Linked DNA regions of Xenopus tropicalis. The protein of the gene in region 1 purifies or fractionates together with the protein of each later gene. This does not show direct contact. Links are inferred from orthologs where the notes say so. Each region holds a gene or a part of one and is shown in the gene's direction. Other genes may lie near its edges.

Region 1 (3,500 bases):
GCACAAGGGGATCTGGTCACTACAGATTGTCTCATGGTTCAGACTTTAGTTACTTCTGCTCTATTTGTTCAGTGAGATTGATAGATCCTAATTTTATTGGTATTTATTTTGGTTTTTGAAACTTAGCACAAGGCGCTGCACTTCCCACCCTAGGCTTGTACTCGAATCAATAAATGTTTCCAGTTTTCTTAGGTAAAATTAGGTACCTTGGCTTATATTCGGAACGGCATATAATCGAGTATATACGGTACATGACCCTGCAACCTGCACCCGGCCTGAAACTGCTTCTGGGAGCAGGCAAAAGTTTAAAATTCTTCAAGCGAAGGGGCAAATTCTTGGCTTGTGTTTATCCACAAGCTGAGAATTTGCTCCGTGTGGCATTAGCCTATAGGCATTTCAGCAACCTGTAATTGCCTCCCATCCACCTAAATAGAAAAATATAGGTAATACAGGTCTGTATGCTTTTTAGCATACATATATATATTGAGAAAGGTCCCGATGGGGACCGAAATGTAACATTGGCTGTTCATGCGTTTTTAATACACAATTGACTGTTTTTGGAATATAACTCGGTGTTGCTGGTCTTTTTTGGATATTTTAAATCATTTACCTTGCACCCGAGCTAAGAGCTGAAGCAGAATGCCACCCTGGGTTTGATATATATATATATATATATATTATATAAATAACACACAGTACTATGAACACGCTGATCCTTCCAGTTGCTGCAAAGTTATCTTATTCAGATTAGAAGGGTGTTTCATCTTGACATGTGCAAAAGCTGTTTTTTTTTTTTTTATAGTTAGTGTAAAAGTCTCTTACCGTATATACTCAAGTATAAGCCGAGTTTTTCAGCACCAAAAATGTGCTAAAAAAGTCGACCTCGGCTTATACTCGAGTAATATAGATTTGAAGATGGCAATCCCTGCACACGCACGTATAACAAGTCCCACTGCCTGCATTGTATTGTGTTATTTGCGTGCGTGTGTACGCACATTCGCGCTCGCCGGCTTCATGCACTGGAAGGACATTATGGGAGTGTACACAGCGTGGGTTACCCCTTCTCCTCGCAGCTATAGGTAAGAAATATATAAATCCTAACTGGGCTAAATATGGTTTCCTCCTCTCCCCTTCAAAGCCACCGGCCTATGCTGGACGGCCTCTCAGTATACAGATGAACCAGGGGGCTTGTGGGCTTTATAGGTGGCTACAGAGGATCGGGTGGAACCCGAGCAATACAAAAATTGGTGCAATGACCATTATAATTCCCAGCATTTTGCAAGCTGTGCCCTCTAAGCCATGTAATGGTCTCAGGAGTCAGAACCGCAGTGAAGGTGTCTCAGTATACAGATGAGCCAGGGGGCCTGAAGGACAAGGAGTAAGTTAACTGTTGTAGCTATGTTATGAGAACAGAGGCCAATATTTTCTAGCACATAATGCTGCCACTCAGTGTATATATGATATTTACCAAAACTTGCCAGTTGCTTGGATTTCCATCTTATCATTACTATCATTACTTAGTATGGCAGCTTCCTTAGCCTTCCCAAACTTGCCTGACAGTAAAAAAAAAAAAAAAAAAACAACTTAGCAGTAGCGGCTGCATTTCCCCTAGGCTTATACTAGAGTCGATAAGTTTTTCCAGTTTTCTTAGGTAAAATTAGGTACCTCGGCTTATATTCGGATCGGCTTATACTCGAGTATATACGGTACTCAAGTTGTACAGGTATGGGACCTGTTTTCCAGAATGCTTGGGACCTGAGGTCTTCTGGATAAGGAATCTTTACGTAATTTGGATCTCTATACTTTGTATATTAAATTATTTAAGCATAATTAAACCCAATACAATTGTTTTGCCTCCAATAAGAATTAATTATAATTAAGAAATAGTTCCAAATCCTTTTCTATCATGTTAGTTGAATAAAATAAACTTTATACATTATTTTTTTTCCCCTTCAGTCCTGGAATTTACAATCACAGCCAGCAGGCTGGCGCCATTTTAAGGCAAAGCTTTGTGTCACCCCAAAATCTCTACATTTGCCATCTAGGTGATATCGAGGAAGGGCTGAATGGAAAGTTAAAGCAATAGTAATTAAAAATCTGAGCTGTCAATCATATATTGCCTGGGGCAGGCAATATATGATTGACAGGTCAGACTTTTAAATACATTTATAACCGGTATGGGTGATTTAATTAAAAAAAGAACTTTGGTTGCATGTTTAATTTTTAAAGGACTTTTATTATGTAGCTTTTTTTATGTGTGGGTGACAGGTCCCCTTTTAATAAGACATAATAAACTTGTTTCACATAGCACCAACCATTCAAGTTTTTGCTGCGCTACTACCATTAATACGGGTATGGTCTTAAAAGCTCTTGTGACTACATGGGTGTAGTTTGAAGTGGGTGGTCAAAACTGGCTTCCATTCTGAGCCCTCGGTACCACAGAAGTTGTACAACACTGGAGAAGAGCCTTTGTCTCTTTCTGCTCTGCTGGTTGTCTAGGGGCTGGAGGTGCCATAGATTGTAAACCTGCCACACATCATAAACTTTACCCTCTGTGGAAGTTAAGAGGGAAAGCCATTTTTCATTAGATCATTAAACTATCCATGGCTACTGTAGACCCATAAATAAATACAGATATGGAATGCCTTCCACATTCATCTTCTACAAAAGTTCAACAAAACTTCAACACATATCCATAGCTACTTCTGCAAGTTTTGTAGAAGATGAATGTTAATTCTTATAAAACAAGATATGGTTTTCGGTAGTACTGCATTGTACTTGTACTTTTAACAACTCAAAGACGATTCCTGTTTTTTTTTTATTTTTTGTTCTAGTTCGATCATTTGGGACAGAGGACCGGCCAACTGACCGACCTATACCTCCCCGGGATGAAGTATTTGAATATATTATTTTCAGAGGAAGTGATATTAAAGACCTTACAGTCTGTGAGCCACCCAAACCTCAGTGTTCCTTGCCTCAGGATCCTGCTATTGTCCAGGTATCTGGTTAACCCCAATGTTAAAAGATGGAGAACTATAAGAGTGTATTTTATTATATCTCAATTTTATTATTGTTAAGCCTTCTAATAATTTGTTTTAAAGTAGATACTTGAAGTATTGAACATTTTATGTATATGAGCCCTCTGGTGTTATAAAAGTATACCTGTGACTTATAAAGATATTTTAAAAATGCCTTCTACTACAAATGTGAAAAGGTACAAAATTGGCTCAGTATGTAATTTTTTTGTTTTCTAGAGGAATAAGTGGCTTGAATTCTGCTTTTTAACTTCTGTTGTTTTTTCCTCTCTTAAAGGAGAATGCAAGTCAAAATTTAAAAAGCATACTGCCCAATAGTCCTCCTATTTAGTAAAAACGCCACACTTTTGGCTCACCTAATGAAATATTTACTCAGTCACACTTACTTCACATTTTCTAGAACAGGCAGCCATCTCTAAAAAGGTATTCTCCCTTCCTTTCCCTCCTTGCTTCATACTGCACATG
Region 2 (3,500 bases), on another chromosome or scaffold:
AGACCTCAGCTGTTTAGCAGGGAAGATCTGTGCCTACAGAGATGCCCCAGTAGCTCCCTATTTTCTTTTCTGCTGATTCACTGTACATGCTCTGTGCTGCTGTCGGTTATTGAGCTTAGGGAACAACTCACAATATACCGTAAATATAGAATTTAAATGTGGTGATAAAAGGATTTTTAGTAATTCAGATGTTAATTGCACTTGTTTCAGAGCTGCCATATAACATGAAAAATGTAATCTTTAGCTTCAGCTTATGACTGGCCTTATTTTCTGCTTAATTATTTGGCATGGATTCAAAAAGGAATACGGTAACACAAGTTTAAAGGATTTCCATGCAGGATTTTATTGGCGAAGTTTTGTGTTGGCGTTGTTGTTGGTTTTTTTTTTTTTTTATATAAATACAAACATATTTCATTTTGAAATTTCACATAGGGCTATGCATATTCTTCTTTTTCCAGTGTGCCACAGCCATGTGACATGTACTATGATAAACTTCAATCAGAATTTACTGCTGAGCTGCAAGTTGGTGTGATATCACCCCCCTCCCTGCAGCCGATCAGCAGAACAATGGGAAGCTTGCAATATAGCTGCTACCTGTATTGCTAAGTGTTGGGTTTTTTTTCTCTACTATTAGGGCTCTGGTACACGGGGAGATTAGTCGCCCGCGAGCAGGGAGTTTTGCCGCGGGCGACTAATCTCCCCGTGTACCAGAGCCCTTGAGTGCTAGTCTGATATCTTATCACTTGGGACTCCTCCAGTTACACTGAGCAGAAGAAACAATAAGTTACCTGAAAGCAGTTCTAATGTGTAGCGCTGGCTCCTTCTGACAGCTCAGCACAGAGCATTGAGATGGCTGTCTACACAGCAATATTGCAACTAACTGTTTACATAGCAAATAAATCATGCTACCACTGTTATTTAGAAATAAAAAGTACACCATAAAAATCATAACAATACATTTAACTATACTTTGCCCATAGTGCCACATGTGTTAAAAAAAACATTTTTTTGAAGGACAAGTAGCTAAGTGTGCTGTAGCCACACACATTGGTGTTCTAGTTTTTTTTTTTTTTTTTTTTTTTTTTTAATTCCAAACATGTTCAGAGGTCAGTTCCACAACATATCTGGTACTCTGCTCTTTAAATCCAAAATGTTTTAGGTTATTTAAATATAAAACTTTACCATTGTGTCTTTTTTATTACCCATAACTTTTCTCAGATGGGTTCTGTTACTACTTTCCTTTGCCAGTAAAATTTTAATCTGTAGATATTCAGCTGATGCCAAGATACTTGCCAACAGTTTTCCACATCTAAGGCTGTCATAGTATGCTAGAGCTTTGTGTGCGTCAGGTTGCTGCACTAAACATTTCTTAAAAATTTAGAAGAAAAATTGTGAAAACAGTCCGTATTAAATACATATACTGTTAAATTTACTAATTGGCAGGATTGTATGTGTGATATATATAGTTATGTGTTAGGCATTCTTTAACAGTTTCTAAAAATGCCATTACTAGTTTTTCTTTTTGGCAAAAAATGAATGCAGTGCAGCTGTCAAATGTACTTTTACAAAGCTGTATGTGCAGTCATACATAAAATAAAAGTAAATGTTCTGTTCTCTCAAAGTAATTGAATGCAATGGAGGAGTTTTGGAAGAAGAGGTAGCTCTTCCGCCTGAGCATGCAGCAGACCAGGAAGTGCCTGAGGAAGCTGTATTACCAGAACCAGCCCCAGGGGAATTTGACTTCAATGAATTTTTCAATCTGGATAAGAGTGTGCCAGGACTGGCTTCGGTAAGTCCTGGAAGCACTTTAGCCCATGGAAGCATCACCACATCTTGCCCAACTTGCTAGATCTAGAGGGGAAAGATTTTCATATTGTAACTTCAAATTGACAGTCATGCAGCAAGACTTGATATGTTTCCTGGGCTTGTAATTATGCATGTTTGTTTGGTCCTTTCACACTTTGGTATGCTCACACTGGTGTGCATGAGGGGTGAAGTGTGTTTACCTGGCCTGATATCTCACTTAATAGCTGCTGTTTAGCCCACCTGTATGTATTTGATTAGAACATGTCATTTTCTTGGCGCTTTTTTTTTTTTATTTTTATTTTAAATTGACTAAAACATGAATGTTTTTTGTTTGAGTGGCCCTGCTTATATGGAGACTTAGTTTCTGTGTTGTGTAGAAGTTTTTTACTTGGGTAAACCTCTTCTGTGCATAGTATTGTGGGTTAATGTATACATCCTGCCATTGATTGAAGGACTTCTCTATTGCATCTGAATGGAATACACCTCAAACTACCTGTAATGTTGTGTGCTTTTGTTTCTTACCATCTTCTAGAGTGACAAGTTGGTGCTTGTTTCTTCCCCTTGCTTACATTATTGTGGTTTTTAGGATTTCCATCATTGTCTGGTGACTGATACCTTTTTGGTGAGCCAAGGTGCCATTGCAGAGGATAGAATTTTGCTTCTGCTTTTTGTTTTAACTCTGTGGAAAGAACTGCTAACCTGTGATAAATGTTACCCTGACTTTGCATAGTGACATTATTTGGTGTTGCATACCTGCCAGTTTTTTTTTTTTTAAGAGGTTTGTAAGTTGTAGGTTCAGTCAGAGCCTTTAACCTGCAGCTTGGGTTAACAGATATGCCGTTCCCACAGAACAGTTACATCTATAGCAAGTAAGTGCTTTTCCCTCCCAAATCAAGCTCAGCCATGGGTTGTGTTTTTTTTTTTTTTATTCTTTTTGTTCATGCATGACATAACATATATTCTGCCTTGTAGATGATAGAGGATGTGCTTGGAGAAGGATCAGTGTCTGCAAGCAGGTTTAGCAGATGGTTTTCAAATCACAGCCGCTCTGGAAGTCGGTCCAGCAGTCTAAGGTCCACCCCCCATGAGGAGCTAGAAAGGTTGGCAGGTGAGTTAGTATGGGAAGAAGAATTAGACATATTTCTAAAACTGCTTATGCTTAACGTTTTTAACCATCTTTTGGAAAAGGCACTACTCTGGGATAAAGTTTTTTTTTTTTTTTTTATTCACCCCCCCCCCCCCCGCCAGGCTTGGAACAAGTAATTCCTGCCCTTGGGCAAAATTCTGGAAACTACTTTGCCCCCATTCAGTTTGAAGAGCGTTCTGACAAAGTAGACATTCTGGAAATCTTACACAAAGCCAAAGTTGACTTGAAACCATTGCTCTCTAGCCTAACTGCCAATAAGGAGAAGCTGCGAGAAAGGAGTAAGTTAAGAAAACGGGCTGTTTTGTGTGGGGTTTTTTTTTTTTTTTTTTTTTTTTTTTAAGGATGTTTTGAGTCTCCTTTTCGTAACCTCTAAAATTCTGCTCTAGCGCACTCCGGGGTGGTCTTATCTGTGGAAGAAGTTGAAGCTGGGTTTAAAGGATTAAAAGTTGAACAGGAGGGAAAGGTTGCAACTCCATACATGGCTGAGCAGTTAGAAGAAGCTCTGACTGCAATGGCTGGTCCAAGAAAAATCCGGAAAGATGGAGAC
Region 3 (3,277 bases), on another chromosome or scaffold:
TCAGCAAAAAAAATCTCTGATCAGTATAATATGTTTTAGATCAAATTCAATGGCAACTTCAGTTTTTTGGTCTCTGAATTACATTTGTGTAGCATATATATTTGACATTAAAACTTTTTTTTTCATTTTACAGCCTGAGCTTGTGTCTACACCCAATTTTGTTGTAGAAGTTACAAAACTGGATACCAACCACACCCTGGTTCTTGACTGTCACTATCCAGAGGATGAGGTACACACAACTAAAATATAAAATGTTTTGTTTTGCATTTATCTGTTATCCTTTTATATGTATGTACAGTTAAGTCTGCAACCATTCTAATGTCAATGTGAGTTAGCATTAGGACTGCCTGTGCAGCTGACATATTTGGATCTGAAACATCTGTTAAAAAAAAAAAAAAAAAAAAATAAAAAAAAAAAAAAAAATATATATATATATAATATATATATATATATATATATATATATATTAATTAGCTCATAAGTAGACATCAAGCAAGGCAATTTTTTGGGCCTCACTGGGCCCTTTATCAAGCCAGCACTTTACAGTTGCGCAATATTTTATATACTGAACTTCTTGGACCAGCATCTCTATAGCAGCAATGATCCAGGACTTTAAACGTGTCACAGGAGCTCCCCATCTGGGAAAGACACTCACATGCTTGGTGTGCTCTGGGCAGCTGTTGAGAAGCTAAGCTTAGGGGTTGTACCAAATTATCAAGCTGAAAATTATGTTGGTCTATCATAGAGGGAGATGCAACAGGGCTGATAAACACTAGTTTATCACACCAGTGTGCTCTGAGCAGCTGTTGAGAAGCTAAGCCAAATTATCAAGCAGAAAATGAGGTTGGCCTGTCATATAAGCTAATGCTAAAGGTCTGATTATTAAATTCTAATGCTAATTGCAGTGGTTTCAGAGCTGCCATATATTGTATATTGTGTGTCTGTCCCTAAGCCCTAAGTAACTGATAGCAGCACAGAGCATGTGTTGTTAATCAGCAAAAAAGAAAATGGGGAGTTACTGGGGGCACCTTTTGGAGGGCTGAGGGACTGTTTTTGCCTTGGGCTGGTACAGAAGCCCAAAACCTTATTAGAAATCCAGAAGCACACCAATAATTTGAACTGTGTCAAAATGTGATTTATTTATTTTACATCTGCAAAAAGGGCCCCTCTAGGCCTACTTCTTTCATTTGGCTATAGTTCTCTTTTAAGGGTTCTAAAAGAATTGATAGCACTCTTTCTGGTACCCTAGTTTGGGTATGCATGCTCATGGGAATGAAGATCCTGCAGACTACAAACCTTTCCTTCTGTTTATGCAAAGTTTAAAAATCCTGCCTTCCTTCCACAATTTTTCAGTATTGCTTCTCAAGGAATGCTTGTTACTTTTTTCCTGACTATGACTTTATTTATAAACCTCTTTACAAAACAAATGTGTGGTTAAATAAAGTTGTTTTTTTTTCTTGTTCAAAATTAAGGTTGGACATGGGGAAGAAGAGGAAGAAAGTGACATTTTTACTATTCGGGAGGTTAGCTTTCAGCCCACAGGAGATACAGAATGGAAGGAGAACAGCTATACACTTAACACTGATTCACTTGACTGGGTTGGTATAGCTTTTTTAAACCAACATTTTACATTTTCATGTCAAAATCCATGACCAACCCACCTGGTGGGTATGGCACCAAAGGCAGATTTGGGTACTTGAAAACCATGTTTTTTTGTTTTTTTTTAGTAGGCCACATAAACTGCAAAAGCACCCAATGACTTCTGTGTGAATCTCTAACAACAGGCTTTACTTATGTACTTAACTTATTAGTTGTCTGAAAACATGGGAAAGTTGTCTTGCAAGTGATTCGCATAGAAGTCGATAGGTTTTTTGGCTGCTTAAATCACAAATTGTCCTGTGTGCCATAGCCCTTTGCAGGATCTTGTACTGTCTAGAGGTCTTTAGACTGTCTTGAAGCTAGTCTGATATTAAAGCGGAGGGCTTTGTAGTGGTAATATCACTGGAGAGGCTGAGGTATAGATGGTGATGTCATGAGCAGGAAGGGACCTTAAGTTTGTCCTGCAACCTGCCCCATGCATCAGTAATATCTTCTAAATTGGCCTCAGTTTAGCAACCATTTGTTGGTTTAAAATATTGTATGTTAAGTAGACTGTTCTGATGATTGGTTACTGACTTGGTCATAATTGCACCAGTGTCCCTGCTTAAATATCAGGTAAAGACGTTGTGATAACTTTGTATATTAACTACTGGTGTTTGAATCTTTTGTAGGCCCTTTATGATCACTTAATGGATTTTTTGGCTGACCGTGGAGTGGATAATACTTTTGCTGATGAGCTAGTGGAACTAAGCACTGCTTTGGAGCACCAGGAATACATCAAGTTTCTAGAAAACCTTAAAGACTTTGTTAAATGCTAAGAAGACATTGAGAAGCAATCACCTTCTGTTCTAAAGGTTGCGGCCAGAGGAGGATCTTGTTGCATGTCATCTTGCATAATGGACATTTTAAATCTGTGGGATGTGTTGTAAAATCGGACAGATTTAAAATTGTGAAAAGGCAAGAGGTTTTTTTTTTTGTTTTTTACATTCTATAACAAATGTCAAAGTATGTAGAAAACAAAATCATCCATAACAAAAATGGTGTCTATTGATGTAACAAGATTTGCTTAAACCCACTTATGTTTAGACAACCCTTTTGTTTTTTTGCTTATGTAAGGCTTCATCTATTATTTTTTAATAAATATATTTCAGAAACAGATCTAACTTCTTAAAACTTAATTAAGTTTATTTCTGTGTATTGTTTCCTTATATGCCTACACCATTTTCATACGTAAAGGGACAGCATAGACCTAAAAACACCTTCAGTTTTTTTTAGAAAATTTTTTATCTTTTTCCAACTTATAGAACTTTTCGTTATGTCCACGATAATTTCATTAAAATTCCACAACTTTTTTGTGGTTTTCGTTAACTTCCACAGAAAGTCGTATTTTTCGCAAAGAATACAACCATTTCAGAATTCATTCAAGCTTTGGTATCGTGGCTATCTTTTGGCCAGGTTTGATCTGTAGAGTGCCATGGAAGGCTTCCAAAATCATACATTGAAGGTTTCAAAGCCAGAAAGGTTTTTGCGCCGTTTACGAATGTTCAGATCCAAAAATTGTGACTTTCAGAACACAACCACAATATTTTCGTACGACCAATAAACGATTTTCGTGACATTTTCGAACATCAGAAATTATTGTGGTTACTCCAAATTTTTGGCATATCGTGATTTTAAC

Evidence for each region. Proteins that work in one complex are often made in the same cells at the same time.
Region 2: the proteins of lsm14a (region 1) and eif4enif1 purify together in Homo sapiens (affinity purification with mass spectrometry; 3 studies listed by BioGRID and IntAct, with this or other methods). This does not show direct contact. The link is inferred for Xenopus tropicalis from reciprocal best matches to the Homo sapiens genes LSM14A and EIF4ENIF1.
Region 3: the proteins of lsm14a (region 1) and c1qbp purify together in Homo sapiens (affinity purification with mass spectrometry; 3 studies listed by BioGRID and IntAct, with this or other methods). This does not show direct contact. The link is inferred for Xenopus tropicalis from reciprocal best matches to the Homo sapiens genes LSM14A and C1QBP.

Annotation. Positions count from the first base shown.
Region 1 is NC_030680.2:67,701,848-67,705,347, reverse strand, and holds part of lsm14a (protein LSM14 homolog A), read left to right. Parts: intron 1-2,834; coding exon 2,835-2,998; intron 2,999-3,500. UniProt on the Homo sapiens protein: Essential for formation of P-bodies, cytoplasmic structures that provide storage sites for translationally inactive mRNAs and protect them from degradation. Acts as a repressor of mRNA translation. May play a role in mitotic spindle assembly.
Region 2 is NC_030677.2:152,096,251-152,099,750, reverse strand, and holds part of eif4enif1 (eukaryotic translation initiation factor 4E transporter), read left to right. Parts: intron 1-1,622; coding exon 1,623-1,789; intron 1,790-2,778; coding exon of another isoform or gene 2,779-2,914; intron 2,915-3,054; coding exon of another isoform or gene 3,055-3,231; intron 3,232-3,339; coding exon of another isoform or gene 3,340-3,500. UniProt on the Homo sapiens protein: EIF4E-binding protein that regulates translation and stability of mRNAs in processing bodies (P-bodies). Plays a key role in P-bodies to coordinate the storage of translationally inactive mRNAs in the cytoplasm and prevent their degradation.
Region 3 is NC_030678.2:105,094,770-105,098,046, reverse strand, and holds the end of c1qbp (complement component 1 Q subcomponent-binding protein, mitochondrial), read left to right. Parts: intron 1-133; coding exon 134-229; intron 230-1,472; coding exon 1,473-1,598; intron 1,599-2,270; coding exon 2,271-2,417; 3' UTR 2,418-2,777; downstream 2,778-3,277.